Drosophila melanogaster: one gene and its partners. The gene in region 1 interacts genetically with each later gene. Each region holds a gene or a part of one and is shown in the gene's direction. Other genes may lie near its edges.

What was found. Genes that interact genetically often act in the same process or in processes that back each other up.
Region 2: of ftz (region 1) and hth, changing one enhances a phenotype caused by changing the other (phenotypic enhancement), as found in Drosophila melanogaster (one study listed by BioGRID).
Region 3: of ftz (region 1) and egl, changing one enhances a phenotype caused by changing the other (phenotypic enhancement), as found in Drosophila melanogaster (one study listed by BioGRID).

What each region holds. Positions count from the first base shown.
Region 1 is NT_033777.3:6,861,036-6,869,461, forward strand, and holds ftz (fushi tarazu), read left to right. Parts: upstream 1-3,288; 5' UTR 3,289-3,358; coding exon 3,359-4,106; intron 4,107-4,253; coding exon 4,254-4,738; 3' UTR 4,739-5,209; downstream 5,210-8,426. UniProt on the Drosophila melanogaster protein: May play a role in determining neuronal identity, may be directly involved in specifying identity of individual neurons. Required during embryogenesis for the process of body segmentation.
Region 2 is NT_033777.3:10,608,466-10,617,220, reverse strand, and holds the start of hth (homothorax), read left to right. Parts: upstream 1-2,944; 5' UTR 2,945-4,221; coding exon 4,222-4,236; intron 4,237-8,755. UniProt on the Drosophila melanogaster protein: All isoforms are required for patterning of the embryonic cuticle. Acts with exd to delimit the eye field and prevent inappropriate eye development.
Region 3 is NT_033778.4:23,741,019-23,749,649, reverse strand, and holds the start of egl (egalitarian), read left to right. Parts: upstream 1-2,820; 5' UTR 2,821-3,450; intron 3,451-4,465; exon of another isoform or gene 4,466-4,552; intron 4,553-5,035; 5' UTR 5,036-5,147; coding exon 5,148-5,313; intron 5,314-8,631. Other genes in the region: CG34105 (uncharacterized protein), read left to right, coding at 1-271; CG13560 (uncharacterized protein), read right to left, coding at 1,506-2,051.

The sequences.
Region 1 (8,426 bases):
GTGGTATCCTATTGAGTCTTATGTAATGCCCCACTGTTGGCAGGTGCTGCATTGGCCCATTTCTAATAGGCTTTTGAAGTTTCAAATATTAATCGTCTGCAGGCAGCAGGATCACCAATCGATAGGCCAATAAAAAACAATACCCTGTGTCATCTGTGTATACAAGGCAAAGTGCGGTATTTTGGATATATGTAAAAAGCCAGCTTTACCACTATTGGCAGGTGCTGTATTGGGCCATTTATAACAGACTTTTGAAGCTTCAAATATTAATGTGCTGCAATCAGAAGAATCGCCAACCGATAACCTAATAAAAAGATAATGCCTTATTATCTGCGTAAACCAGACATATTACGAATTAGTTTGACATCTCTAGACTTATATAAATGTTTAAATGGTTTGAATTACTATAACTACTATAATAGTCATATGGAGAACTTATGTGCATAATTTAATCCAAAAAATGTTACGGCGACAACTCAATAATTAATAATGTTTGTGGATAATAGCATACAACTTTTTGGCAAGAAATGACAGTTTAGTTTCCTAATGATCTTGGTCACTTTGGATTCGCTTGACCCACGGCAGCTGATAACGCTGCTCCGGGAAAAATAACGATGAGATTGACTTCAACAGCAGCCAGAATATATCTGTGGGCTGGGAATTAACACATTGGCCTCCTCCAGGCGCGTGCCCGTTTCACCTTCCCGTGCATTTATGAAAAGTCTGCCGGACCGACCCACCGAACCGTCCGCTGTCTAGCTCTATACGAGTAGATGTGTATCTGGCTGTTAACCCCTCTGGAATTGCCAAAAATGTGCAACGGCATCAGCGAAAGAACGGCAGGAAAGATGGTCGGAATCGGGGAGGGGTTCAAACTCCAAAGGATATAAGGGACATGGGACATGCAGCTAGTCGGGCACAATGGGATGGTCCCGATTCACTGTCAAGGTAATTTATTAATTCGACAATAAAATCGCACGAGTTCTTGGGACGAGCTCCGGATTCGCATTCTATGTTGGGTTTGGGTGCGGACTTGCGATGGGGTGTGTTGTGGTCGGACACTCGCATGTGGGCCTTACAACTCAATTAAAGTTGCCTGGGTTCTGGATCTGAGCTCGCTGCATTTCCGTGGAGAACCGGGTGGGCAAAGTATTATATGACCATGTGCTAGGTTTGGATTAAGCTTAACAGAGGAATTTGTGAAATCCAATCGTTCGAAAGTGAAAAAGTTAAGTGCCCTTATGCCACGTAAACCCATCATTAAATATTTACAAAAACAAACCATTCATAAACAGCTAGACAAGTTAGTTTAAAATCTTAGGCCATGTTCATGTAAAATAATTCAACTAATTAATCTTTTTAAGGTATAATTCAATAAGTATATATCTAAATTCAAAGACCTAGTCAAAAGTAGTAGCCCTCGCCCTTATTTATTGCGTTAAAAAAGGATCCTAACAATATTTAAATAAAATGAGATGAAATTATTTTAGTAAATGATTCGGTATCGAAAGAATTTTATTTTTGGGGAGCTGTTTTTCCTTTCTTTGATTGATAGATATAAACATAAGTTATCGGATGGTTTTATATCCTACTCTACACCCTTATTGTTAAGTTTACTGCAAAACCAGAAAGGAGGCTCACATTCACTGGCAATATAGCAATCACAGGACATCGGAGAGATGCGAACTGCAGTCTCTTCTGTCAAACTGAAAAACGCCATAAATTTTGTGGAACAATGGAATCTGCCAGAGTATGCGGATGGGGTAAGGGTAGAATTCGCACATGCACACATATGTCAGGAGTATCGATATGTTAGGGGTGTTCAACGGGGGTGGCTAATAAAATTTATCCAGGCCGCGTAAGCCGATCAGAAAGTCATGTAAACACAAAAGTGGCTGAGAGATGATTGTTTTTTACCAGTCAATTTAGCTGAGCTGATTTCAGGTTATACGCGAACCTAAGATGGAAGTAGATTTTTAGATTACCAGAAATAACCTTCAGTTTCTAAAAGAATGAGAAATAGTAAATCGTGAAGCCTGTGGCATTCTTACCCCTTACTGAAATGAATGTAACAGGTAGAAGGCAGCAATTGCAGTGCTACAAAGTATATATATTCTTGATCCATATAAGTATAAGTATAAGAGCTATAATGTTATAATTAAACATGAAGATCCTACGCTGTGCAAGTTTTGTGCCACAAATTTAACTCAAGATTACCACTCACAAAGGATACATTACCATTTGGCCATTAAAAATTACAGCATCCATAGACAACCTACTTAAAATTTATAAAAACTTGAGGGTTATATCACAGAGTTACCGAAAAAAAGCGTAAAAGCTTTATATTCTCAACAATATTATGCTATTAAAATATTGCTGGTTTTCTGCTGTTATAGAATCATTTTTAAAAGTATAACGTAAAAAATAAAATAAAACTAGTATTCATTTGAAAAATCAGCGGGCATATAATTTATATCATATTTTTAAAATTTAGGCAAAGGATGTTTGCATAAAGTTTTTACTGTTTACTAGTCATTTTGGAAGTGCGTTTGTTGGTTTTTAGGCAAATACCGGGCACAGGAGTGAGTTTGGGAATCGGGAGTTGCGCACTTGCTTGGCCACGAGGGCAAACAAAAAGCGCAAACACGCGACCCTCGGCCACGCGTATTCCTGATCCCAGGGATCGGACGTAATGTTATCCTTTGGCCGCCCAGTGCCACGAAATAAATTCGGAGGGAAAGGGCATCGGGTTCCGGGAACAACTGGCAGCCAGTCTTCGGTGTTTTGCGCGCTGGCAAAAATCCAGAGAAATTTTTAGGGAACCATAAACGGGCCGGGGAAAAAGCCTCTGCCCCGAAGGAACGTTTTCAGCAACAGTTTACAGTTTTTATGTCTTTATGATTATTGCAATTAGAGGGAGATCGGCTGAGAGTCGCGCCCTCTCGCTCTGCGCACCTCATAGGTAGGCACCTCATGGCCGTAATTACTGCAGCACCGTCTCAAGGTCGCCGAGTAGGAGAAGCGCGCGGGCGGATAAATCGCGATGATAATGGGCGCGATGGGTAGGTAATAAGCCGCGCAGCAGGTAGGCACCGTACGGATAAAGTTGCCAGGACCTCGGATAACTTCCCCTCTCCGTGCCTGCAAGGACATTTCGCCGGAGGGGTGGCTGCGAACAGCAGGCGGCAAAGTGTCATGCGCAGGGATATTTATGCGCTATAACGGCGAGCGTGTGCCGAGGGCTCTCTGATTTTGCTATATATGCAGGATCTGCCGCAGGACCAGCTCATTCGCAAACTCACCAGCGTTGCGTGCACATCGCAGAGTTAGAGAAGAAATCTAGCAATACACATCCGATATGGCCACCACAAACAGCCAGAGCCACTACAGCTACGCCGACAACATGAACATGTACAACATGTATCACCCCCACAGCCTGCCGCCCACCTACTACGATAATTCAGGCAGCAATGCCTACTATCAGAACACCTCCAATTATCAGGGCTACTATCCCCAGGAGAGTTACTCGGAGAGCTGCTACTACTACAACAATCAGGAGCAGGTGACCACCCAGACTGTACCGCCCGTGCAACCCACCACCCCGCCGCCCAAGGCCACCAAGCGCAAGGCCGAAGATGATGCTGCTTCCATCATCGCCGCCGTGGAGGAGCGACCCAGCACACTGAGGGCTCTGCTCACCAATCCCGTGAAGAAGCTGAAGTACACCCCCGACTATTTCTACACAACCGTCGAGCAGGTGAAGAAGGCTCCCGCCGTAAGCACCAAGGTCACCGCCAGCCCCGCTCCCAGCTACGACCAAGAGTACGTGACTGTGCCCACGCCCAGCGCCTCCGAGGATGTCGACTACTTGGACGTCTACTCGCCCCAGTCGCAGACGCAGAAGCTGAAGAATGGCGACTTTGCCACCCCTCCGCCAACCACGCCCACCTCTCTGCCGCCCCTCGAAGGCATCAGCACGCCACCCCAATCGCCGGGGGAGAAATCCTCGTCAGCTGTCAGCCAGGAGATCAATCATCGAATTGTGACAGCCCCGAATGGAGCCGGCGATTTCAATTGGTCGCACATCGAGGAGACTTTGGCATCAGGTAGGCATCACACACGATTAACAACCCCTAAAAATACACTTTGAAAATATTGAAAATATGTTTTTGTATACATTTTTGATATTTTCAAACAATACGCAGTTATAAAACTCATTAGCTAACCCATTTTTTCTTTGCTTATGCTTACAGATTGCAAAGACTCGAAACGCACCCGTCAGACGTACACCCGCTACCAGACCCTGGAGCTCGAGAAGGAGTTCCACTTCAATAGATACATCACCCGGCGTCGTCGCATCGATATCGCCAATGCCCTGAGCCTGAGCGAAAGGCAGATCAAGATCTGGTTCCAAAACCGACGCATGAAGTCGAAGAAGGATCGCACGCTGGACAGCTCCCCGGAGCACTGTGGTGCCGGCTACACCGCGATGCTGCCGCCACTGGAGGCCACAAGCACCGCCACCACCGGGGCACCATCGGTGCCAGTGCCCATGTACCACCACCACCAAACCACCGCCGCCTACCCCGCTTACAGCCACAGTCACAGTCATGGTTATGGCCTGCTCAATGATTACCCTCAGCAGCAGACCCACCAGCAGTACGATGCCTACCCGCAGCAGTACCAACATCAGTGCAGCTACCAGCAACATCCACAGGACCTCTACCATCTGTCTTGAGGTCCGGCGATGCTCAGTTACTCTCTTCCCCAGAGCGGAACCGAAAGCCGTACCGCCACGAAACCGAAGCGCACTTCTCTCGACCATTTGTAGGTGACACGCAAATGACACAGCCGAGAACGAAGCTGCGACGCGATGAGTTGCACAGTAGAGGGCGCACTCCCTACGGTGCCCAGGACATTTTGGGCACAAGGACGAGTGCGCAAGTGCAGAAGGCAGAGGCAAAAGAGGCAGCGCAAACAGAAAAGGAGCCTTGCTGCGCGCGGAACCCAGTGGCTGGCCATGATGGGTTCTCAGCGATCGATTAGCTGCGGCCAAACACAAGCCCAAAACACTCAGCTGGGAGTGATAATGGCCAAGAGACTTGGAGACTGACACACATGTTTTTGTACATATAGTAGTTAAGATATTCCTATCATAGAATTCTATTTATTTAAATATACGAGTAAAGTAAATCGATCGAATTTAAACAAATCAAGTTGAACATTCATTTGGCAATTTGTGAAGAAGAGTCTTGGGCATGCTGCAATTTGACTGCTTTAAAATTTTAAATTTATAGGCCGTGGGCCGCGTATGTGGAATACATTTCATATGTATATGTGTTGAAATAAAATTAAATGCCTTTCAATGATAACTACTCAATAAATTCTTAAAATAGTTTGGATCAACGTATGGTATTTGTCTAACTACTTTCACCGAAAACATATCACAAGGCAAAGTTTACCTTCAGCCTATTTTCATACCTTATATATGCATATAATACATATATATGATAAAAATGGAGTTTAGGAGTTAAGGAGTTTAAATTATTTAAGTATAAGCCTAATATTTAATTGTTCGTTGAGAAGCTTAAGAGATCTCTTGGTTTACTTTCTGATGAATTGCACATGGTTGAAGCATTACTTTCGAACTTATACGAAACGCAAACGATTTAATGTTGAGCACGAATCGTACAAATTCGAGCAGCTGCATTTTGTCGCTTCAGTCCCCCTCATCCCTGACCCATTGCTATCTCCCGGATTTTCTATTAAATGCACTCTTTTCGCCAGAGAAAATGTCACATTTTGGTCTGGCTTCGGGGCATATCTACCACCGCATCCCTGCTCCCTTCCTCCCTCCGCCGCTGCACGTTCCTCTATTGAAGTGAGACATTGATTGGTAATTTTTCATTGCACATCCGTGACAGTTATGGGTAACGCAACGCAAAAGGAAAAGCCCGGTGCGGAATCGGATTCGGAATCAGAATCAATATCAAAGGCAAAGGGGATCCATGTGCAGTCGAATATATCCCGGCACCATTTATCCGACTCATTAGACAAAAGTGGTCGGTGGGTGAGTTCGAAGTGGCATCTGTGGGCACTTTAGTGTTAGGTGCGAATTGGTGGCATTGGTTAAGCTTAGTGGTGATATGTATCTATGCCGCTGCGAAAGAAATTTTTTGTCTGATTTAATGATTTAGATGGCTTCAATGTGCTACTTAATTGATTTGGAAACCATGTACATTTTGTTCAAATATTTTATAAAATAAATATTTAACAATGAACAGACCTTCAATAGATCAGATTCTATCCTACCCTTCTAGAATGTAGTTATGACAGACAAATTAGTTAACAGATATAAATCAAAAGACCGAAAACGGAAGAATCCCTTTGCAAATTCGAATTTGTGGCATTTTTGCAATTATATAATTAGGCCATAAATATATAAACGATGGTGGTTGGGTAAAAAAGCCCTACAGTGACATACATATCTACAATACAAACTACTTGGCAAATACAGTATGCGTCAGAAATATAAGTCAACGAAGTATTTATATTTTCTAAATAGTCAACTTTTATTAAACCCGTTACGCGTATTAGAAAAGGGTATACTTGATCCGTTGAAAAGTATGTAACAGCTAAAAGTTTTTCCGTATAAGCTAGGATTCCAGAGATGCACACACACAATTAATACGTTGAAATTTCTTGTTCGTAATCCTACTAGGTGATAGTCGAAAAACTCGACAATACCATTCCCTCTAGTTGTTTTGCAAACATCAACCAAGCGGATTTTACTGGTTCCTTTGACTCCTTAAAGTTATCAATTAGTCAACATTAAACAAACGAAATTGCAAGGACATTTACCCGTTTCTTAAAAGTCAACATCTCTTTTCATACGTTTCCTTGGAAGTTAAAGAAAAACTCAAGAAACTGGTAAAATATTTACGTGTAAATTGCGAAAGAGTTACGTTAACTCTTCCTGTGTCCTTCTGCGAAACGAAGTCTTTTTTATCCTTTTTATTCGCATTCTGCTTTATTAGAGGTCCTCGGAGTCGGTTCTTAACTCATTCGCGAGCCATAAACCCCGAGATTCGCGGAAAGGGTATTCGTTGTGGGCGGAATCCTTTTGCAAACCCGGTTTCAGTCAAGGCTGCAAAGTCAATCCTTTAGCATAATCCTTTAAATAGCCAAAATAAAGCCCGCCTTTGTCAAAACAAAGCGATTCGCTGGCAGAACTCGTATTTGCGAATAGGCGTGCCATTGTGTCCACTTAGCCGGCAGGTACCGCCTCCTCAAAACCCTCGGTCGCGGAGGACTCCTTGGTCTGCATCTCTATCCCTTCCACCAGCCTCAGCCATAACGATCGTAAAGTTATCCTTTCGCAAACACGAGCATACGGTTACCGCCTTAAGCTGGCGAAGGAGTTACAAAGTCATAAAAACAAAACACCTTTGTCCGCGCAGCATTGTCAGTTGGCGAATTATCCGTTCAGTCGCCGCTGCCGAATCCTTAATCCGTGCCGTTTTTATAGCCAGTAAGTAGATGGAGATAGTAGGAAATTCGCGATGGGCTCGTCCCTGGCGAAAGGGGAAGGAACACGACAGGCTAGAGCCGGACTGCCAAGGATAAGCCTTTAGCTGGAAGGGATTAAATTGCATTATCCTTATGTTAAAGATAAACACGGAGCGGCTAATCCAAAACATTAGATCAAGCGTGATATTCAAATTAGGTCGGTCAAGGGAAGTTTGCAAGTTTATCGAACAAGAGTTGTATTTTGTACTTAAATGTTAATTTATGTACTATTTAAAATAATATATGTAATTGAAAAACATTCAGGTAGGATAAGCAATAATGACGTTGTAAAATTATTGGATTCGAAAAACATTTGTCATAATATGTACCCTAATTGAATATAAATATTTTAATTAGTCTGTCGTTTGGCCCTTCTATAATGCTTGCCGGTGTAGGTAATACCCACATATTTAAAAATCTCAGTAAAATTTCGTGCCCGTCATATTATCACCGAACAGGAGATGATAATCGACCTGATATAACGATACTAAAATGACTTTGACAAGTCATCGCGGGGTCAGCACTTCAGTGGCTGCCGCTGTCGCGCCCTTTTGTTGTGATGGCCATATATTTATGGCGCTCAAAAAGCAATTAATTGTGACCCAAATCAACAATTTCCGAATGGCTGGCAATATCAACACGGCAGCCCGATCTAATGGCCCGGCAAATGCCACCGATTTCCACAGACCAAGTCGTAGGAACAGGAATGTATATATGCACGTAGTGGGAATGGTAATGAGATCGAGATCGGCATGGTATGAAGCATGAGTTATGGCCACCGCGGTAAGATGTCGCTCCAAATGGGTTATTTCTATGCACACTTGGAAAAAGTTTTATTGTAATACCTTTCTGGTAGG
Region 2 (8,755 bases), 3.7 Mb from region 1:
AAAAGCGCGGCGAAAAGAGCGCGTGCACTTGTCTGTCAAGATTATGGCGGTTTCAGTCACTTTGTTGCTGTTTCTGTGTGTTCGATGTTTTTTTTTCGTATTTCGCAGCGACGGCGAAGAAGAAGAAGAGCGCCGACGGCAACTCCTATTTTTCTTCATGTGCCATTTTTTTGTTTTTGGCTTTCTGTTTCGGTTCTTGCTTGAGTGAGTGAGCGGGAGCAAGCGAGATGGCGCCACATCAAGTTGATATCGTGTCGTCGTCTTCATCTTTTGCTGTCGCTCGTCGTTTGCGTTTGATAAATTGCGTTTATAAGAAAGAGATGAATTGTCATGCACACAACACACACTTCTCTGCCGGCGTCGACGGCGACGCCGACTGCACTGCCGGCGTTAACATCACTGTAGGTGTTCGCAAGTGTGTGCCTGTGTGTGTGCGTGCGTGAGTGTTTAAATCATATTGGCTGGCCCCCCAATTGGTGTGAGTGCACGTGTATGGGTAAGCTTTCCCTCTCTGCCCTCTCTTTCGCTCGTCTGGGATTGGAAGTTTCCAAATGCAATTTTCCTTGAGGTTTTCCCGAGTCGGTTCCTTTTCGGCTTTCTTCTTTCATTTTTTTTTCGCTCACTGGGTGGAGGCCCAGCCCCCTAAATTCGCTTCCTGCCCCTCCTTTTGTACACCCCCCCCCCCACCGTTCGCTCTTCTCGCTTCTTGATTATTTTCCTTTTTCGGTGATTTAAATTTCATGGTCCCTTCAATTTGGCAAAGTTCTAAATATTAAATTAAATTCCTGCTTCATTTGCAAAAATTCTTGAGCTTTTCTGGAGCTGTCCGCTTTATTTGCATTCTTCGAAATTTAAGTTATCTGTTCTTATTAAATTTCATCTGAAAACATTTTTTCACTCAGTATTATTCTACGAACTAAGTATATTCTATTCCTCAATTAGCGCTTCTCAGAAAACCTCGAGTTTTCTTAAACAAATAAACTTCATTTGTCTAACATTTCGTTGGGATCCTTGAACTTTGCTACCGCGTCGATCGATCTATTCGAATTTAACTTGGTCACCGATAAGTCTGAAAAGTTCCCACACTTAAGCGTTTCACTAATTTATTGCACTTAATTGATTCGATTTTATGTGATTTTTGTTTCACATAAATTACTTGGCTTTTGGCCCGAGCAGACGCACAAAAGTTGGACGTCTGAAAAAGCCAAAAGAAAGCGAGTCCCGAAACGAAAAAAGGGAAAAAGCAACCGCAAATCAATCAAAGTCTCATAAATTTGTCAAAGTGTTGACAAGACGCAGAAACAGAGCACCTATATCATACATAGTTCCCAAGATTTTGGGGGTTTGGGATTTCGGGATGAAATGGCAACCAGATTAAGTGCAACATCATCTTTTTGACCAGCGAAAACAGACACGGGAAATCCTTTTGGCGAGCGTCGGAAAACAAACAAGGCTATTTTTCATTTTCCTAAAAACGCCGGCCAAATCGCCCCGTCTCTCTCGCTCGCCAGTATCCCCGTCTCTTTCGGCGTAATGGCAACTGCAGCGCCAAGCCAAAAATACGCTGGTGAAAAATGGCCTGGGAATATGTGTTAACTGCTTTTTAAACTGCCACGAGGACGACGACACGACAGTAACAATAACAGCAACAATAGACAGGATTTCGGACTGAATACGAAGATTGGCATACCTTGTTACCCTGTAGTTATTGGTAAAACAAATTGGACTAATTTATTTTAGTTTAAAATGTAAAAAAAAATTTGTACAATCACGCCGAAGATATCACAATTGACTGAAAATTGCCCAAACATACTTGTCATCAAAAAACTTGTTCAAATAATGCAAAAGCCCGTTTCCTCAATTTTTTATTTTTGGTTTGAGATGTAACACCATTTGTACAGGGTATATAAAAAACCAAATGAGAGTAGATTCGCCAAACAGGAGCGCAGAATGACCTGCAAAATATGCAATTTTCAGCGAATGTTTTTGACAATTTATCGCCGTTCCATTTGTTGTTGTTCCCCAAGAAGTAAGAAAGAGAGAGAGAGGAGAAACTCGAACAGCTGTTTGTTGTTGTCAGGATCGCATATCCTTCCAAAGTGGCCAGATCACCGTTACAAGCCAAAAGGACGCAATAAAGGAACTGCAGCGAAAAGTTTGTTTTTGTCGTCCACGTTTCTTCTTCTTCTCCTTCAAGTTTCTTCTCTTTTTTGCCGCTTTTCTTCGAAGGCGTTGCCTATTCGGGCAAAAGTGTGTGTGTGCGAGTGTGTGTGGGGGCGCCAAAAGAGAGCGAAAAGTGAGCGAAAGCTGAAGCTGATGGACAACTGAAGCTTTCTCGCTGCCTTTCAACCTGTAAAGGTGCGGCGAAAAAGAGCCAAGCTGCCAACTGCCACTCACTCAAGCGAAAATAACAAATGGGATTGGTTTTTGCTGATTTTCGACGCCGACGCCGGCAGAGGGGCGAAAAACCCATAAGCCGTCTCCTTTTGGCCAAAGCCAAATAAATTTCAAACGCGGCGAACATTGCGCAAAAAGAGGCGAAAACTGAGAAAGAGAAAGAGATAGAACACCGCTGTACGGTACTGTATATGCATGTGAATGACAAGTGTGTGTATGACAGAAGAGGCGTACCAACAAATCAGTCATCGTCGCCCAGGATGCGAGCGCGCCTGCGCAGGCAATTCGCCGGAGCGTTCGCATAAACCATATATTCCTCTCGCTTGCACTCGCTGAGTTATGGCCAAGAGCGAGTTAATGGCACAATTGTTGCATCTGAACAGAGCGGGGCAGCTGCATGATTGACAATCATGCCGCACCGCTTGCACCCGTTGACTTTGCTGTTGTTTGTCGCTCAGCGCTCTCTTCGCTGTTAGTTAACAGCGATGTTAGGAGTGGAAACACGTCCGACTGTAGCGTAAATTCAAACGTATCTGGCGGGTTGGTTTTTCGATGAAATATCTTTCATCCGCACAGTGTATTTTTGACTGCGAAGCGCGTACGACGTGTGTCTGTGTTGCGTTGCGTTCGAATAAAAAAGAGAAGAAAAGCGAAAAAGTGTTGCCGTCGGTGAAGTTTATTATTATTATGATTATTATTATTGCCCGTTAACCACGCGTTTTGCCATCAATCAACAAATAAACAACACAAGAAACACTTTGGAAATCGCGCGCGTTTTTCCATCGCGCGAACAAAACAATCACGTTTTTTAGTGTGTTTTTCAATCACAATCGAAAAGTTCTCCTTTTCACAATTGAAGGCCAAAATAAATACTGTTATTTGAGGGCCGCGGAGGGAATTTCTTTCAACGAGGGGATCCCGCCGATCCCCCCGCAAAAACAAAGAAACACGCAAATTGCCGTCGCAAAAACACAACAGAATATATTGCATTATATATTAACAATATAATTTGTTCATCTCTAGTAACGTAGTATGTAGAAGCAGCTGTGATAAATAGTGCGCATATTATACGAAAAAAGCAAAAAGAGTATACGACAAACAAATAAAAATTAAAAGCAACCACAACTACTACTATAAAAATAACCAAGGAAAAGGCAAGGAAACTCGCAAAACGAGAGAGAGAGGAAAAGGGAAAAAACGCCATGGATTTATGACAACAACAAATGCAACCCAGTAACAAATGATGTTGCAGCAACTACTACAATACACGAGTATACCAAGAACATCAACAACAACAACTGCAACGGCAACCAACAACAAATTGTATACGATTTTTATAAACCAAACAAATGCTATGTAAATAATTATTATAACAAACACACAAGTAAAAAAAACATTCAAAACCAGATCTCCCGCTCTAGAAAACAAACAACAAACGCGCGCGTAACAAAAACGACAACATCAACAATACAACAAGTATACAAACGTAATAATAATACATAAAATCTAAACAAATGTGCCTGTGTTAAAAAAAAAGAAAGCAAAATCAAGAAGCAAAGCGTTCAAAAAGCAAAGGCTTCCCAATACATGAAAAAAGTGCAAAACATATATAAAAATCCAAGAAAATAACATCCAAAACTGAAGAACTGGAAAAGCCAAGAGTAAATCTAAGGACTCCACACGGGCAGCTACAGTAGAGCTTCCCTAAAACCGAAGCAGTTGCAGCGGCGGAGCGGGACGTCGGTCAGTGTGTTGCGCCCCCATTTGTTGTTCCTACTGTAAAAAGTGGCACAAATCGGGTTAGACGTCGCTCCCAGAGCATTAATGGCTCAGCCCAGGGTAAGTAGATCCACCAAAGTTCACTTTCTAAATATATAGAATCCATATAGAATGGTCCCCCGAGAGTGTTGTTATCCTTAAACAAGTTCCGACGGCTAAAAAACAAATGGGGTTCAGTCAATTTGTAATCAAGTCAAGTGGTGCCGACGGCACTTACAGGTTGTAGTTTATGATGATATTGTAACAGTTTTCATATCATGGATATGTTACCAGTGTAACCAAATCAATCTATAACCAGAATACGCAAAAAGTTTTAAAAATCTTCAGATATTAGTTAATCCAACTTCATGAAGTAGATCTATATAAATATTTCTTATACATGGCCTCCAAGCTTCTCCAATTTAACCCATTACAATCAATTCAATGGGGAATAGTTCTTGTTTATTAGAGCCCTATCAAAATGAATTTTAACTAAGCGTTTCTGAGTGTGTGTGTGTGTGTGTGCTTATGTGTATTGGAATAGGACAGAAATCACATTTGATTTATGCGGGTCATTTTCTGGTACAAGTTTATATAATTAACTGAGTCTGCAGCTAGACCATTTTATTTGGGAAGTGATGGAAATCAAAGATCGCCGAAATAGTGATAGATATTGTATTACATTAAACAACGGTTTACTCTAGAAAATCATTAAATAATGTTTATTGAAAATTGTTAGCTTTTCCCCTTAACTTTTCATTTTCACACCGCAATAGTTGATTCGATTTTTGTTTAAACATGGCTGGGACCTTCACCTCCGAAAAGCCCCCCCGTTGCATAGCCACAATGATTCCACCATTTTCCATCACGTTTATAAGGCATAAATTCTCGCCTCGCTTTTTAAACGGAGTAATAATTTTTACAATCCATCTGGATCGTAAATTATATGCTAATCAGGTGACCGGCAGTCTCCGCTCGCCCGCTCTTCAAAAAAATATTATTACCAAATCGCAGTTAGACTTTATCAATTGATTATCATGGACATGCGAAGTGAACTTGATTTTTATTTAACGGAGCAAAAAGACCTCAAACATGGCCGTTTGCCTGTGTGTGTGCTACCAATTAGCGTGTGTGTGTGTGTGTGTGTTACCAAAAGGTGGGCCATGCTCTTTGGGAGCATTAAAAAAATCAGAAAGAAATATAAAAAATAAAAATGGATATGGAAATGGAAATGGAGATGGGAAAAAAGAAATGCCCGCGGGAATTTTGTGTGTGTCTGCGTTACTGGCGAATAAATTTACGCCTGTGGTTTAATACCCGATTCTGTGCCGAATTTACCTCTTTGAATCCCCTTTTTCGTAATTCTCCTGCGGCTCTTTACCCGAATCGCGCCATTTCAATTCCATCAAATGAATTTTTCGACTCGGGGCGAGAGATATATGTATGTATGTACGAGTATGTGAATATATACGGGTGTTCTGTCTGTTTGTGTGCATTTGATGCATATAATTTTATTGCACATTTTGCACATTGCCAGCGGCCCAAAAGCGATCCATTCAGTTTATGCCGCTTCGTGGTTTTATTATTTACAATTTTATTTTTACCATTTTCCATGACTTTGCGCTGCTATAATTTGCGAAAAATGGCGGGAAGCAATTTTCGCGGGTTCTTCTCAAACCAAACTGCACATGCATTTTTATATATATTTAATTTGATTATTTTATGCCATCGAAACGGAGAGCAAACGAGAGAAACAGTGAGAAAGAGCGGCCGTGTAAAATGTGCAAAAAAAAAAAATGTGCAATTGCAATTTGTATAAAAATGTGCATTGCAGCTGCTGCCATTCTCCCCCGCGCCCCCTCACTTTTCCCACCATTTTTCAGTTCGTGTGCCATTTCAAACGCCTGCGAAATGCAGCACAAAAATTGTTTTGGTGTTATTTTAATTTAAAGGTTAACCGCAGCGTAATTTGTGGCATAAAATATAATTCGTCTATCGTGTGCTCGCCTCTCCCACTGTGTTTGTTCAGCTATTTTTTGTATTTCTCGTTCGCTTTAGAAATAAAATCAAAATCAAAATAGAAAAGATCAAGGAGAGCGGAGCAGCGGAAAATGCCACAGTCGATTCTGTGGTTTACTTTAGTGGCCAGCAGCATTTGCAAAAGTTGATGGAAACATTCGGAATTCGACTTAGGTGGCAAACTAAAACATTTTTTTTGTTGAGCCAGGAAAAAAATTCTAGTTATATATGTATATATTATCAGTATATAACAATGGTCCGCTGAAATGTGTACTTTCAAATATACCAACTGCTGAACTCATTCCATTAATAACAATAAATTGAATTTGAAATTCCCTATGTTACAAAATAACATTCGTCAGCAAAGTATAGTAATATTTTTTCCCGCCTAGTCCTTATCATATTGCAATAGTTTAATCTTTGCCAGCGACCAACCTTCGTCGCGAATTCTTTTCTAATTAAGTGAGCAATTCTCCAGTCTTCCCAGCCTCACCGCATGACTCATGGGCTCCCCACTTACCCCCTTTGCCACGACCCCCCGTTTATCAGGAGATTTCAGATATATCTTGGCTTTCGGTTGAGAATCCGCTCGGCAGACGCTTCACATGCCAGCGAAAATTGAGCGAATAGGAAGCGTCAGGCTGAGAGGAATATTTATAAACAAATTACATATGCATATTTCTGCAAGGGGTGCGCAGGGGGAGGGGGTCATAAGACTCTATATGGGGCCTCCACTTCTCCCACTTTCCACCGATGTTGTTTTTCGTGTGCTAAAGAGCTTCATGTTTAATGATCAAATTGCGTGCCTGATTCTTGGGTCGGTGCCTGCTGGTGCTATATAGTTGTTGCCTTTGTTGTTATAGCCTATAGAGTAGTATTATTATTTTACTTATTTTTTCCCGGCCTCTCTGGCTTACTACAGCACACACATAGTTGCCAAGTTTGACGAGGTCGCTGGCTGCCGTTGAAAGTGTTTTCATTAGTTTCATTTCTTTTTGCATTTACGCTTAAAAGTTTTTTAAATATCGCTGCCCGTTTTTCGTTTGCCGTAATTTCCCCAAACATTAAGTCAAAGTGTTTTGCTAATATTCATCGAATAAAGTGGAATTACTATTTTTGCTGGTGGTGAACTCTTTTCTCCATCTTTATAAAAAGAAAAGAAAAAAAAACGAGGGACTGAAACGGAAAAAGTGTACAGACAAAAATGTGAAGAAAAAATGTGTTGTAAAGTAGAGGAAAAATCATTTAGACAAGTTGCACGCCGCTCATTAAATTAAATGAGCCATCAGCACGCAATTTATTTTCGTATTTTTGAGTAACTTTTGGCCCCGGCAAAAATGCCAAACTCCAAAAGACTTTTGTTTCTTTGGGCCAGAAATTTTGTTAGCAAACTTGGCCAAGTCCTTGTCTTCAGCAATTTAATTAAATAGCCGAGAAGTTGGGAATCAGATAGTTAATTTAGGCCAATAAAACAATTACTGAGAGTATATTTTCTTCTACTTGCATATTCCATTCGTCATTATAAATATAATATAATCAATTAACTCGAGACATATTCGTTTAATTCCATTTAAACACAAGTTTATTTTATTTGCATGCCATACTGCCTTTTCCGCCATTTTCCGTCAATTTAAATTTCAAACATTTTCCTTAAATTTCGGCCATTAAATTGTCTTCGCTTTCGCTGGGCTTTAAATTCCCAGAAAGCAGCTAAAAATATTTTCAAAATTTCTTTTCTTTCGATTTATTTTTGATTCGATATTTTTATGTATTTTGCTTGTATTTTCCGAACACACGAATTTTAAATTTACCTTTTTGGACAAATTTTTCGTTGCTATTGGCCGCGCTTTGTTGGCTTTTTGTTAATCATCTGCCAGTTTTTGTGTCTGCGAGTTTGGGGCTCATTTTAATTTAATAAATGCCACAGACTGACGTCATTTGTTGTTGATTTTTGATAAATGTTAAAACGCCAAAGTATTCATTTATTTTTTTTCACCCGTTGGTCGCTTTCAGTTTCTCGGCTACCGAGCTTCTAATTTTTCTGCTTTAATTTTATGCATATATTTCAGTGCTATTTTTTTTTGCGTTTATTAAGTATTTGTTTTTCGACATAAATTAAATGGAAGCCGAAAATAAAAAATTAGCACACGTTTTCGATGCTCGTCAACGTTTGATGTTTCCCTGCTCGATAATATTGTTATTATAAGCAATAAAAGTTAATAATATCGCCTAGGATGAAGCGTGTTCCGAAGTTTTTGGTGTTTGGCAATGCTGCAACTGTAAATTAAAATAACACCCAGGCACGCAACAAAAATTAATTGTCTAACACCAAATAAAACTTTTTAAGGCCGCCCGAAAAAAAGCCTGGGCGTGACTTTGTTCATCTGGCGAGGGGGGCGTGGCAGCGGGACACACCTACAACCAGCGGCTTGGCTTGCTAATTAAGCAAAGCTAAAGCTAAAGTCCCAGAAAAAAAGGGGAATGAATTCTATATAGAGAGGAGATATATGGGGAAGAAATGAAAAGAAATTCAAATACAACATGATAAACAATTAATTTTGATTAGGCCTTCGTCTGCGCC
Region 3 (8,631 bases), on another chromosome or scaffold:
TTCGTCCTCCACTCCTAGCAGCTCTTCTTCCACTTCGCCCACTTCCTCCACCTCATCGACGACTGCCACAACCACGGCCCCCTCCACGTCCAGCGACACGTCCTCCTCCTCCACGAGCTCCGACAGCGAGGAGGTGGACAGGCTGAGGCGCAGGCTTCGCAGGCTCCGGCGGCTGAGGCGTCAGGAGAGGCGCCAGGAGATTCGCCGGGAGAGGCAGCAGGAAAGGCGCCAGCAGAGTCGTGCTGGAAGAAGGCGCCAACGTAGGGGATAAACCATCGGCTTAACCCGATCGAACAATGAAATGGTCCAAATTGAAAAATAAATGCATACACAAAAGCAACAATCGTAGTTATGACTTGGTAACTTGGCACCTTAAAAACAAGTGAAATCATTTGGATCGAATTGTTAGTCAAACAAAGAAATTCAATATTCGGTTTCATCTTGGAAAAGAAGAAGAAGGCTACACTATATACTCTAATGAAGAATCCTAAGTAAATCATTTTCCGATCTAGTTAGTTGATCAAGTGGAACTGGTCTAAGTGCAGACATAATTCCAGATGATAACTTAATCGATTAGGAACTTGCAAATGAAAGTGAAAAATAGGAGTTTGTTCTAAGTTTTCTTTTAGTGAGAATTCATTCTTTATGTACAATATGCCATCTTAATCTATATTTAAGCTTAGAGGTTATTTAAATATGGCTTTCTGTTCAAAAGGCTTAACAATACATATTCATCTATTTAATAAACAATGTACTGTGTTTGCACACATGCTAACAATACGTTCAGCCAGCCAATCCAAAAAAAACCGTTTTGCTTAGTTGCTAACTAATTGGAGATTTGTCATTTGTCCCTGGCTTTCTAGCCAGAGCATCACCTTCAGGTACGTCAACCCAACCGGCTGATCCACGCCCACTTCGCCTAGAGGCAGTGAATCCAGCAGAAGCCGTGAGATGACCAGGTAGCGTTGGGTCCAAGGACTTTGAGGCTCTCACGGACTTTCCTATTTAGCAGCTTATGGACTGACGATCTGTTGATATATTTTGTATGATTCTAATAGTACTGTGATCCGATAAAATATCTTTCAGATTGTAACGAAAGCTATCTTGTGCTCGTTTCGAATTTTTTTGGACTGAATCGTAAACACTTCGTGGAATTAATTATCTTTAGTTCTAAAGCCTCGTGAGTTTATTTCGAAACAAGGTCTCATATATGTTCTGCATACTTTCCGGGCGTTCTGTACTTTAGGAAATTCGTTACTACGATAGTATGAAGCCGAGTCACTAGTTCAGATAGAACCAAATGGAGTGAGAAAGCTATGCGAGCTAAGAAAGCTTGCTGGTACATGCTGTGATTCTGTGGAGGACTGAAAACATTTCTCTTATGGTGTCTTAAGGTATGCAACACAAAATTGCATTCACATTTATATCTAGGGTTTATATTGGTTTTTCATGTAACAATTTTATTTGCATTGAGTTACAATGTCATGTGAGTTGGGATTCCCATTTCAGCCCCGACGGCGCTGCTGGCGCTGGCGCTCCCTCCTCTCACGGCGTCTCTCCTGGCGTCTCTGACGACGTCGGTAGCGACGACGCCTCTCCTTGCGGTTCCGCTTGGATGACGAAGAGCTACTGCTGGAGCCGGAGGATGAGGAGTCGCTCGGGGAGGTGGACGTGGTGGGCGATGTGGAGGGCGAGGTTGTGGAAGGAGACGGATTAGTCGAGGATGAGCCAGTTGAGGTGCTGGGGCTGCCAGAGGTGGTTGATCCCGTACTTCCGGTGCTGCCAGTGGCCGTACTTCCGGTGCTGCCTGTACCCGTGCTTCCGGTGCTGCCAGTGCCCGTGCTACCGGTGCCCGTGCTCCCGGTGCTGCCAGTGCCCGTGCTACCGGTGCCCGTGCTCCCGGTGCTACCGGTGCCCGTGCTCCCGGTGCCCGTGCTCCCGGTCCCCGTAGTATCGGTGCCCGTGCTGCCGGTGCCTGTGGTATCGCCACCAGCATAAGCGGTCGCCAAGATGGCAATAAGACCAAAGGCCAGGACGAATTGGAATCGCATCTTTAGCTCCGTCCGTTGAACACTGTACTCAAGTACTGTACTTTCTCTGCATTTAATTAGGGTATTTATACGCATCACCCACGATTTTTTTGGTTCATTTTCAGACTGTGTGTTTGCTCCGAATCATCATCATTTGCCGCACGTGGCTTAGTAGGATATTCTTGAGACAATTTGGCCGATGACTATCGAAAATACATTTGTTTGAACAAGTCAACAATGGGGGAATTGTGGATTTGTTAGATCTAGTTTATTCTAAGCAAGTGTGCAAACACAGGCAGCTCGGGTATTGTTTTGAGTTCTACTGAATAGCTATTCAGCCATTCTAGCAGTGCTTTAGCACTCGGCCTTATTTAAATAACCGCAAAACAGATGCGTGTTTGGTTCATAGAGATTTTGAAGGATGTATAAAAATAATATAAGATAGCAATGCCTTGAACGCAGTGGAGTTCGAGTTTTACTAAGGTTCAAGAGATAGGCTTATGGCGGGATTTTGACTCTTTAATGGAAGAGGTTCGTGTGATTAAAGCTGAATTAATAATTACTGAACTACCATAAACAGTTCTAAGGAATCTATACAATCTTTCAAAATGATTTCGAAATCCAATTTCGAATCGAAGCGAAACGAAACGGTCACACTGCTTAACAGTCGCGCCGCGAGACGTTGCCACCCGGCTAATAAAATACCAACGTTGCCGCTCAGTGGTATTCCCGCCTCGGCCGTGCACTGGCCACACCAGCCACCGCCTTCGCTTCGCCGCCCGCCATCCAAATTCGATTCGTTGGTGTTTTTCGCTGCGCTGGTGTTCGTGTGTTCGCGTTGGCGCTGTCATCATCATATCGTATCGCATCGCTCCGCTCCGAAAACCGTGGCAATTGTCTGTTTTTTTACCTGCCAGCGAGTGCGTTTCAGTTGCCCGCCAACCGGCAGGAATCGCAAATTCACGTGCGCCACTCTCCAATTGGACGAGTGCCTTTAAAACAGTGCAACAAGTGGTTTTTACAATTCTTACCAGCATTCAGTTCAAAGTGCCTAACAAACACACGCACACACATACGTAACCTACCTGACCAGCGCGCATATGTGTGTGCATGAGTGTGAGTGATACAACAACAATACAATAGCAGCAACACAGCTACGAAAATAACTAACTGCTTTCGTCGCAGTTTTTCTGCAAGTGTATGGGTTAATTGCGCCGAAAAATGTTAATTAATTGAAGCCCAATTGGAAATCGCCAGTGGCAAGAAAAGCTGAAACTAAGATCTGAACGCAGATCTGGTGAGAAATCCCAAACGCGAGGATCTGTATCGCGTGTGTGTCAATCGGTTTAAATATAGATCAGATCACAAGTGCACTTAAACAAACAGAAGGGAACGAAACAAACAAGTGATTAACCGACAGGTAATTACAGCTGCTCTTCTTTTGCATATTTTGCGCGTTTTCTCTGCCAGATATTATTCGCTTCTCCTTTATTGTTTTACCTTTCTTTCGCTTCTAATAAGACTCTTCTTTTTATCGGTGTGGCTGGAGTTTCTTGTTTTGCCACCCATACAATCGCACAAATACCTGTACAGCACATACACTCACACGCGCACAGTTATTGGCTGATTGGAATGTGTGTGCTTTGTTGTTGCCGTTCTCAATACATATTTGTTGTCAACGGTTTCTGCTTATCAATTGGAAAGCACGAACACAGCTACACCTGCACTTCTTATTGGCTTGGGCAGCCCTCCTGTTGGATAACAATAATGAGTGGCAAATTCTGTTCGGCCTGGCGAAAAATAGTAATATGCACTCCTGGGAGGGAGCTGGCGCTTTTCATTTTCCATTTCCGCTGCACATTTGTACCTTTCTTTCTGTGTCAATCACCTGTTCTGCAGCGCTGACACTTTTCACATGCCAATCGGCGGCAAAAATCAGAGGCAGCAACAAACAAATTAAAACGTGTTATATATACCCTTAGTCCCGTCGAGGTGCCAACTTTTGATCGCCAACTTTTGATTCCCACCGAATTCCATTCGAAAAGTCCAACCAAATCCCATTGTGCTCAGAGTCTTATTTGCACTAATCCCATGCAAATTCCAATTGGCGCGTTCCCATACAGACCAACATCGCTAGATAGAAAATCGTCTGGCGATCTTACGGTAATTTGATTTTGTAGATTAGCTCTTGCTTTTAAATGAAAGATATATAGAGCAGATATATTATGATTATTTACTTTCGATTCGATGCTAAGTAGTAATTGTGGCTTAGCGAGTTTTCACTGTTTTCAGTCACCGAATCTGGCGGTTTCGAAATTCTCAGCTGGCAACACTGATGCCAATTCGCCGTGACGTGGACTCCTTCTTTCGCCGCACAGTCAGCTGGCTGAATTCGCCGGTGTTTATGTTGTGGGCGCAGGAAGCAGGAAACTGCCAGTTGATTTCAAACTTTCAAGCGGCGCGCAAGGACATGCCGCAAGAGTACGGAAGTCGCAGCTCCTAGGAACGGTAGCAACTCCTTCGTACGTGTTTTACTCGCTTGAGTCTGTGCTCCTCAATTATTCACGAAGCAAAACAAAGTTTATGGCTCTGCAACTGCCCGCCGTTGCCTCGAATATTTTCAACTAGTGCAAGGCGAGCTACAAAAACAATGCAATGGCATGGGACAAGTGTCGAGATAGCGAGTGAGACGCACATAGCGTGCAGGAAAGAGAGAGCGACAGTGGCAAAGTGCAAATGTATTAAATAAATAACGAAACGAAGCTGTACAGAGAGAAAAAAATCATGTTGATTATGAACCATCGTAGAGTAAAGTAAAAGTGGGCATGCGAAAGATTTTGAGTAGGGTAAACCCTTGTTTCTCTCAGTGTCATCTAATATGTGCCTGCGGTTTGGCTACTTTCTGCCCTGTCTTTTGCTTTTGGCCGGCTTTCTTGGCGCATTGCATAAGTGTTGGCCATTTCACCTCACTAACGCTCTCCCCTTCCTCCTCCTTCTACCCGCAGATAAGCAGCCAACGTGACGTACTCGGGCGGATTAATAATTGAGCAGATAGCGGATAGCAGAGAGCAGCTAGCAGATATCAGATAGCGAATAGCGGACACAGCAGGCCCAGCAATGGAGTCCATGGAGTACGAGATGGCACGCAACATGACGTTGCTCTTCTTCCTGGAGCGACTGCTGGACAAGGGCGAGCCCCGCACCGTCCACGACCTGTCCTGCCAATTCGGCAACAAGGAGTTCACCAAGGAGATGCGCCAAATCGCCGGTGGCAGTCAGTCGGGTAAGTTCGCACTAACTAAGCCAGCACTTAGTAACTACACTTCGCAACAAGCAAATCCATATAGCCAAAATGCAACTGAAATAAAAATGAAGAGGCCTGCTATATTGATTGAATTGAAAACAGCTCTCTTTAATCAAAAAACTGGATCGAATAAAGTCAAGGAAAGTGCGCTGAAAATGCCGTGGCATTCAATTCATGCTCTCATTTGAAATGTCGCCAGCCGAGCCTGGGAAATTGGAAACGTGTGCGGTGGAAAGCGGTAGTGTACAGTGGACATTGGACACTGAACGGTGGACACTCTTGTTCGGCTGCGGTACATACATATACAATACATATTTGTGCACCTGCGGGTTTGCGTTGTTCGTCACAGTCACAGTCGATGATTGTGTTGTTCATGTTGCCTTCGAGTGGTCGGCGTCCAAGTGCACATGTCATTGCCGTTTCCATTTCCATTTCCAATTGCAGTTTGCCGATTGCCAGTTGCCGCAGGGGAGTCAGTCAGTCAGGCCTCCTCATTTTCCATCTCCCGGCTGATCTCAATGCCAAAAACCACAAAAACATGCCAAGGGTTTATCGCCTTTCATTGCAGCCGCCAAGCTGCAATCGATAATGCTCCACCCTTGTGTTTTCCACAAGTGGTATGGATATATGGGTATGGGGGTGTTGGTTTACAACTGGTCTACGAAAAACAGGCAAAGATTCTCGAGATTCTCGACTTGTGTACACGTGTTGTACTTCCATTGACAAGTCGGCACATGGAAAACTCTGGCCATGCTGTTTATCAAAATGCACGGTTAACTAACGCGAGCGACTAAAAATAGACGCAACAAACAACTTTCGGTTTTTATAAATAGCTACCACTTAGTTGAGAGTTGGGAGTTGGGTGTTGGGTGCTGGGAAGGTGCAATGCACTTTCCCTCGAGGCGAAGATATGTGAACACATTTGTTTGATGTTCTCACTTGTGGAGAGGAGGGTTTTGAAAAAGAGCCACAGGAAATGGCACGCATTTGTTTACTCCGCACCTTGGGGATTTATAGCAAATCATTAAGCTACAGCGAATCATCATGAACTTGAGTTTTATGATAATGGTCTTATGACATCGCTAATTATAATAAAATTAAGGATGTACTGCATAATTTTTATAAGATTTTTGTCAGTATTTTGTGAATAAAATAAAAAGTAGTTGACCAAATGGGGAATGTCCTACCTTCCTGAACTCGCAGTGAAATTCCCTATCGAGTGGTATTCCCAGCTAGAAATGTTAGATTTCGACCATTTTTTGCAAAATTTGATGATGTAACCCCTTATAAAAAATGCGAAAAATGATCAAATTTTTTAATTCTGAAAATCGGCAGGAAAGTGATAGGGATCTTTAGTTTAAGTAAAAAGCTGCACAAAACGGTCATTACTTTCGCTGGGCGATTGTTTTTAGCCAAGTTATGAGCTAAGACCTGTTGGAGATTATCAACTTTTGGCCATAATCGTGTTTAAGACAAGAATTACCCATACTGCTCTTGCTTGTCACACTCTTCGACTTCGACTTGGCTAATTGCAACAAGAAAACAAACATTTAACAAAATGTTTATCACATTTGTTGATTTTTTAGCCATGTGCGTGACTCTGCCGCCAAGACAAATGGTGTTTACCTCGGGTGAGCAACATTTTCGCCGAAATACAATAGTTTAGTCTGTGACTTAAAGCGCTGGTTTTACTTTTGGCCCAGAACGCAATAGACAAGTTGGAGAAAGTTCAGGGAAATACGCGGCTAACACGCAAATCGCAGCTGGATTAGAAGAATAGACTGGGAAACTGAATTAATTGAATGGGAAATGTCAAGGTCTGGCTTATAAATAGAGAAGAGTGAGTTGCGCATTCCCGAAATTGGATGTTCCAAGTATGGAACCATCGAGCCAACGTTAAGCAGTTCCTTGGCCAATGGCATTTCGATCCATTTCGGCCACTAATCCCGGTTTTCATTCCACCCGGGACTGACCTAAAATCCCACAAACATATCTTATGCCTCTTCAATTTTGTCAACGTGTTGTTTGCCCAACTTATAAGCCGTTAAGGCCGATGGGTAGCATTTTGCACCCCCGCCCACAATAGTCGGCCATCCAAGTCAGCCATTATGTGGTTTTTGGCCAGGAACGGATTGGGGGATTGGGGGAGTGGCGGAAACTTTGTAATAGAAAAGTGTCGATTACGTGACAAAAATGTTCAATTGAAATTTCAATAAAATTGCATGATATTCTGGGGACTGAAGACCACATCCATTTGTTGCTTCAATAATAAATGGAGGTGTGTGTGTGCCACCATGCATATTCCCCAGCGATTGATGAGGGTTCTCTGGTGGGGAAACATCTCCGGGAAATTAACGTTGAAAGCAATTTTCTAGCCGGGCAGGAGGAGAAACTCGAACGGCGTTTATTGGGTTAGACAAACAGTTTTGGAGAGTTTGCTAAACTGAACTGAAACTCGTTAATGGCGAGCTTAAATTTCGCTGCTAATTTAACGGCCTGCCAGAAGTAAACACAACCATTTAGCCCAGTTTATCGTTTTGCCATTTTGACTTGCCAGCGGCTTTGAATAATTGCACACACACAAGCAGCTGGGAAAAATAGAAAAGGCATTCGCACCAAAAACAGGCCAAGCCTTTTGCGAAGGTTCGCAAATGTTTTTCTCTGTGTGGGTTTTTTAGTTTATTTTTTTTTTTCGCTTTGCGTAATCGATTGCCAAAGCAAACAAAACACACGGACAGGCAAAAGTTGTCAAAGCAAATGAAATAAATACTTAAGCTACACAGAAATCAATTTTGTAACTAATGGCTGAGTTGGTTTATTTCGCTATGCGAAAAGTAGAAAATCAAGATAGAGTGCTGTCTAAAATTCAATGGAATATAATCACAAAACCTAAGTTGAATAACATACTTAAATCTATTGATTATCAACTTTTAACCAAAAGTTGTATAGATTGCCTGATCGATCCGCCAGCTAATTTCGCTCGAACCTTTTGCGTTTTCGCCACGCATTTGAATTTCTGACATTGTCGTAAATTTAACGATTTTATGTCGAGCGAAGGAAATCCTTTAACGCCTGCCAGCCGTTGCTCCCAACCCCTTAACCCTTGAAACCCCCGGAAATCCACCAAGGAAATACCCCCGTTGAAGCTCCACATTTCCCGGCATTGCGTGTGTGCAGCCAAGGTCTTTATGCTTAAGTTGACTTTTGCTTTTTTCCCAAAGTAAATGGAACTCGCATTGATTTTTGACATTAATCGCAAAGGGCGAAACATTTTGTTTAAGGCGAAAGTGAGTGTGG